Tribolium castaneum: one gene and its partner. The protein of the gene in region 2 purifies or fractionates together with the protein of the main gene of each other region. This does not show direct contact. Links are inferred from orthologs where the notes say so. Each region holds a gene or a part of one and is shown on either strand. Other genes may lie near its edges.

Region 1 (2,622 bases), on a different chromosome or scaffold from region 2:
ATTTAGGTTTCACCACCCTGCTGACGCCGAAAATATTCCTACTTTTTTCAAAACTACAAAAACTTGCACTTGGAGAATTAAAATAATACAATCATTGTTGTGGAACAAATGCAAGAATGCGGGATTATTAAATTAAAAAACTAGTTATTTGATAAAAAACAGTTTATTCAAAAATCGCTGATGTACACTGACAAACAAACAGAATTGGCAAGAAACCAGGTCAGTGGTTTAGCTCGTAATTCGGGGTCCCTTTGTGACACTGAAGTTACGTGCCCAAAATGACACCTTAACGTCATAATCTCAATTTGCACACTACAAATTGAATTTCCTTAATCCTAACACAATTCCAGTTTAATGAGCCGTGATGATGATTGTGACTGCGACGTTTTGGAAACGAAACAGAAGCTCAAACACATCAAATGCAAAATTATTAAATTAATGAATGAACAACTATCCAAGTCGGAAAATTTCGTGGAGGATGAAATCAAGCGAAATGGGTGTTTTACCCGAGGGTTAGTTGTGGTTAAAAAGCTGCCAATTAATTGCGAGTTGTAGGTGTTGGTGGTCCTTGTGTTCCTCCAGGACGTGGCTGTACTTTTTAGGGTTTTTAACGATGATATTTGTAGCGGTTTTAATGGGGGCGTTTATGGGGGCCCGCATTTGCGGGAACGAGGCGGGGTCTTGCGATGATTATGGCGTATTTTAACACTTGTATACTATATTTTATCCGACACCTATTATAATTGGTTAAGGTGCAAATAAACAACCAGTTGGGTCGAAATGGCGTTTGATTTAAATAATCATATTACAATAAAACAATGAACGCAATTTTGGAAATAATCTTAAATAAAAAAAATACGAGTTTACTTCTCCTCACACCATTCGTTCTCCTTGCGCACTTGCTCCTCCTCGGAGGCTGTGAAGTCGTTCTTGATGTTGAAAGTCTTGCGGATCTCCTCGGGGGCCTTGCCCTTGATCATGTTGGCGACTGTCTTGCAAGTCACATCGAGCAGCCCCTTGATGTCCAGGTAATTCGCCGCCAGGATCAGCTCAAACAAAGTGCCTTGGTCCACTTTGAGAAAATCGGCGTCCCATGACGAAATATCATCCGTGCGTTTCTCCTTGTTCTCGTCGTCTTCGGGCGGTGGAGGATCATCTTTGTGATAAGTGGACCACTGGATAACTTTCTTCAAAATCGCCGAATTGACATTGGGGAGAGGCACCACTTCCTCTTCCTCCTCGTCCATCCCCAGGTCCTCCAGCATGGTCTTGATGGTCACTGAACATTTCGCGATCTCCACGTCCACCTCGAACGTTTCACCGTCGGAGGAACGCAGTTTAATATTCGGCATTTTTCACGGTTTTTCTTCGATGACAGAATATGACAATAGACGGCAATAATGGTGGATGACAGGTGTAACGCGCAAGCGTCCCCACACGGGCGCCAGATTCGAACCAATTGTTATAAACAAATTAATTCAAAACGAGTTATTGCAGCAAATACGCAATGACGCGGCAAAATTTTCATCAAAACACGTAGCGCGTTATTTGCCTCGGATAATGTAATATGGGAAGAGCCGCAATATAAAGCTTAATTGTGCGTTAAAATTGTTGCACTTGGTTTGCGCAAGACCCCGCTCTTGATTTAAAAGAGGTGGCCCAAGAATTTGGGAGCCAGATTGTCCGTCTTCACCGCCTGTCTCCAAGCCAAACAATGGTAAGTCTGTCTGAGTCGTCTTTTTTGATTTTCTCCTTATCACCCTCTTTCTTACACATTATTTTGAAATTTTTGCGATAACACTCTTTATTGCATAAAAACAACTAATTGTAACAATCTGACGCAACAATTGACCGAATCTTTATTACTTGAAAACTTCCAATTCTTATCTAACTTGACTTCTCAAGTGTTTTGGAGCAAAACACAAACAAATTGTTATCTGATTTTTAGGGTTCCACAACAATGAAAAAGTCCATTACGGACCACCGAATCACTTTGTTGTTATTCGTCAGCATTATTTTCCTATCTATTGAAATTACCCACGGGGCTTTGGTCAAAAACCCCAACTTGCTGAAAAAAAATCATTGCAGGTACTAATTACATAATATCAGGTTTATTTAATTAATTAATTATTTAAGGACACACATTTTTTCTCCCGTGTGCCGCGGGCAGCAAAAGCGAGACATTTTAAGCCGTCTCAGTGACGAGTACAGGTAGTCATTAAAACAATTAAAGTGCAAAAGTTTGATTCATTTGTTAGGGTGCCAGCCCTGGATTCCGATTTTTCGGGGATTGACCGGTCCCGCGATTTCCCTACAATCCTTAACAGTCCGAGTCTTTTCGGGGAACTACTGAAAAAAGCCATAGAATCGTCCCCCGAGTTCGATCCCGAAAATAGCAATTATCTGAAGTGAGGAGAATAATAAAAGACAGGCCGGACAGTATTACCCCAGTATTCCTATTTATTTATTTATTGGATAAAAATAAAATATAAAAACTATGTTCGAGTTTTATTTCTAATCAGAAAATTTGGTGGAGGAATCTTTTGGAATACTCGTAAGTTGCAAAAAGAGTGGCAGTGGATGGAATAGTCCGAACTAACGTTGGAGTCAACCCGTTATAAA
Region 2 (4,354 bases):
AAAATAAGTAAAAAACATGTCCCAAAATTACGCTTGTTTAAATTTTCAATTTTTATTAGTCAATTATTTTTTGGGACTGGCGCTAACTATTTTACGTATGTATATTGTATTTAAATTATATTGATTAAATAATCTAACGTATTTGTGCACATTTAAATTTATCTTTCTAATAAACATACAAAAAATGTAAAAAATAAAATACATAAAACAATAATAAAATACAACAAAAGTACACAAAACGATTTCTGTTCTTAAATTATTTTAAAAAATGTGATTGTTTCTATTATTTTTTTATAATAATTAACATGACAATACTTAACATAAAATTTAAACACAAAAAAAATTATAAAAAGCAAACACACCTTAAAAATAGGAGAAAAACAGAAACATAGACGTTGGTGTGTAATTAAATTACAGGTATTTTTTTTAATTATTATACGAGTAGGTATTTCAAAATTTAGTAATAAAAACTGTAGCTCCAGTAAATAAAACACCACAAAACATTAAATCAAATGTTAAACACCAACAGGGTCTAATGGTTCTAATGGGTGGAAACCTACCAATGAAAAAATAAATGTTCAAAAAAATAATTGTTTGGTTGTAATTAAAATTATTGTAAGAAATTAACATAAAAATATAATAAATAATTTAAAAAAATATTCAAGATAAGTCTAATTATCACAAAAATCAGCAATTGCTATTAAATAATATTAAAATAACTAAATACAATTCCTTAAAAGAAATTAATTAAATTAATTAATATCAAGTATTAGCAAAAAAAACCATTTTTTCTTATGACAGTCTTAAACAAACAATGCTAAAATGCTAAAATATCGTTTTGTTCAGAAATAGGTAAAAAAATGATACTAGGCCTAAGAAATAAAAATAAAACATAAATAAATTTAAGCATTGTTTGTTTTAGAATAACACCTAGAAATAAAAATATTTCCATTAACTAATATCGAAATATTTTTTATTTTATTAATATTTTTAATTAATTAATTTTTATTATAATAAATTCTAGAATAAATCTAAAAAAATTCACATGCATAAAGAAAAAAAAAGCATTTAATACTTAACGCTGACTTCTGTGTGATTATTGGTTTTTAAGATATAGTAAAAATACTTTTAACAGACTCACCTTGTGTAAATAAATAAAATGACAAAATTCCTCTGAAAACTTCACTTTTTTATCAGTCTGGCGTCGTATTTATCCACATTCAAGTATTTAATAATTATTATTTGCTTAGAATTAAAATTATTTCAAGAAACATTAATAATAAATAAATAATATTCAAGATAAGTCTAATAATCACAAGAATCAGCGTTTGCTATTAAATACTCAATAATTTTCTCTGTGCATGTGAATTTTTTCAGATTTTTTTCTACAGTTCTTTAATAAAAATTAATTTAATTAATTAATATCAAGTCGCTGCACAATATTATTAATTCTTATGACAGTCTAAACGCAACAGTGCCGCTTAAAAATCATTTTAGACCTAAGAAATAATTAAATAAAGATGTATAAATAAAAAAATTCAACAAATGTAATTTTGGAGTTAGCAATATTTGTTGCTCAAAACACCATTTAAGCATTATTTCTTTTAAAATAACATCAAGAAATGAAAAAAATCCATTAACTAATATTTAATTTTATAAATAATAATATTTTTAATTAAGAATTTTTATTATAAGGAATTGTACAAAAAATCTGAAGAAATTTACATGCATAAACAAAAATAGAAAGTATTTAATAGCAAACGCTAAATTCTGTGTGATTAGTAGTTGTTAAGAGGTAGTAAAAAATACTTTAAATTAGCAAACTTCCGTTGTGTAAATAAATAATTAAATAAAAAATTAAATATTTTAAAAAAAAATGACAAGATTCCTCTGAAAACTTCAGTAATCTATCATGTGTATTGAATGTGCCTCAGTAAAATTTTACCAAACAAAATACCAAACGACTTACTTCATACCAGTCTTGTTCGTAATCATATAAAGGCAACAACGGCCACCTTAAGCGCACAAAGTCTCGCCAACGCTCGAGCTTCACACACATGAAAAGTATCTCCCGCCACCTGCTACAAACTTGACCTATGCTCCACAGCGAAATTTCGTCTAAATATTTAAACATATGCATAAGAACTGCAATTAAAGTGTCAGTTTTTTGAGATAAATTGCAAAAAAGGCAAACCTTCCGGTGGAAATAGCTCTAAATTCAAGTCAGTTACGTGATGAGTGACGTTTGAGAGCCTTTGTATTTCTTTAGTCAGGGTATCCACCCTTACGGGGGCCATTTTGCCCACGAAGTCCTCGTAAAGGGGGACGTTGGGCATGCTTTCCTGACTGTTATCCACCGGCTCGTCATTGCCCGAATCACTATCACTGGATCTCTGAAAGTTTCCTCTACTTACAAGGCATATAAATCATTTTTTATTTACTTGGAAGGTTGAGGGCCTGTCCATAATGGGGGCAGTGTTGGGGTACAGAAAAGCGTGGCAGGTGGAGCACACAGGGTCGTCAAAGCACGGCCCATAATACCCATTGCACGTGTGGCACGTATTCTGCAACACCCGTGTTATTTTCCGGGAAAAAAAATCCCGACACTTACTGTTACAATCGCGCAGGAATTTCTCCGATTTCCGTTGATTTTCGGGTGCACCTCCTTGTCCCCGTTCTTGCGACAGTCTTCATCACGTCGTGGATCACAAATTGCAAACGTATCTTCAGGAAACATGGTTTTTTCTAGCGCATTCCCAATTTTGATGTGAATTGTGTCAAATTAAAATTTGTTTGACATTGACAGGAAAAAAACAACAGCACATGCAAATGCGATTTTTCCAAAATAAAACATTTCCAAAAGTAAGGTTATGCAGGTTATAACCAAACATAAATACGTTTCAACGGTTATAAAACCGAGTGTAAATTATTAAAAAATAATTAACTTATCGAATTTTCTGTTCTACTCTTCCATAACTAACAAAAACCACAATAATAATAACATTATCAATTTATGACGGCTTTGACAGCAACAACATGACAGTTTGCGGTGGTTAGTTCGAGTTACCGAATGATTTTCAGCTCGAATTCTCGAATTAGCAGCGCCAATTCGAGTAAAAAAAAAATCAAACAGCAACAATGCAAAAAAATGCACAAATAATGCAATTATCGACTCAATTCGGTCAGATTTAGCCAATATGAGAAAAAACATAAATGATTTAGATCAAAAACAAGACAAAAATCTATACAAATAGGCATTTTCTATAAAAAAATTTGTTTTTTTGACTTATTTTTGGCAAAATTTTGCCTAAAAATAAACTAAATCGAATGAAACTGGCTCAAGTGCTACGTAATTTAAAAAGTTTTCAAACAGTTAAAGCACGATTAAAAAAAATATTGTTACCTCACAAAACCTGTTTAAACTATTGAAGAAGGCACATTTATTTAAGATTGCTTCTTGTCTAGACTAGTAAATTTTCAACTGGTTTATAACATAATTTCTTAAAATAATTGCATAAACGGGCAGGAAAAAAACAAAATTTACCAAAATTTTTCAAAAAAAAATATTTTTATATTAAAATCTCACGAAAAAGGCAAGTTTAATACTATTTTTAGCCTAATGTGGTAAATGTTTGACTTGTAGAAAGGAAGTTTTCCGAAATAATTGCACTTCTCAATAAATTTAAATGAAATAAAATGCTCGAACAAAGCTATAATGTAACTAGGTTTAACGACTTAATTTGTTTTTGTTTTTCGATCAGTTTAAAAAAATCGTTCAGAAACCTTAAATACTTTTATTTGAAAACTTGATAAAAGCAGAAAACAACATCTTCGACCAAAAAGAGCTAAATCGAGCGAAACGAGTTAAAAAACTCGCAAAAAGCAAGTCTAACACCATATGTGGCCTAATTTAATGGCCTGTTAATACCGAAATTTTTTGTTTCTGGCTGAGAAACGTGCGTAAAAAGACACAAACAAACCAAAAACTTCTGATGTTCTGATCCAGTGATTTTTCGTTAGTACAGGGTGTCAATAAAAGTAGGTATAAATATTTTTACTATACTTTAAAAACAAATAATCGCACTAGATTCAGCGTTTGTTATTAAATACCTTGTATTTCTCTTTATGCCTGTGATTTTTTTAGAATTGTCCTACAATTCTTTAGAATTTAAATTAATAATTATCTGTAAAAATTGTTATTTCTCGTTTACAATTTGGCGCCTTTACGTACTTTTATCGTTTACCGCATTATTTCATCAGATTCTATCAAAACATACCGAGCGTATAAGTCAACTAGAGTTTGAAGTTATATTTTACCTTTACGTTCATCTCTTTTTCTCTCAAAACAAAAAGT

What was found.
Region 1: the proteins of morgue (region 2) and SkpA purify together in Drosophila melanogaster (affinity purification with western blotting; 3 studies listed by BioGRID, with this or other methods). This does not show direct contact. The link is inferred for Tribolium castaneum from reciprocal best matches to the Drosophila melanogaster genes morgue and SkpA.

Annotation. Positions count from the first base shown.
Region 1 is NC_087402.1:1,038,969-1,041,590, forward strand, and holds SkpA (S-phase kinase-associated protein 1), read right to left. Parts: upstream 1,431-2,622; 5' UTR 1,353-1,430; coding exon 864-1,352; 3' UTR 771-863; downstream 1-770. Other genes in the region: uncharacterized protein LOC103312555, read left to right, coding at 1,715-1,717, 1,949-2,088, 2,137-2,211, 2,259-2,412; mitochondrial ornithine transporter 1, read right to left, coding at 2,519-2,622.
Region 2 is NC_087403.1:6,162,809-6,167,162, forward strand, and holds the start of morgue (uncharacterized protein morgue), read right to left. Parts: upstream 3,037-4,354; 5' UTR 2,738-3,036; coding exon 2,612-2,737; intron 2,565-2,611; coding exon 2,442-2,564; intron 2,394-2,441; coding exon 2,195-2,393; intron 2,146-2,194; coding exon 1,970-2,145; intron 1-1,969.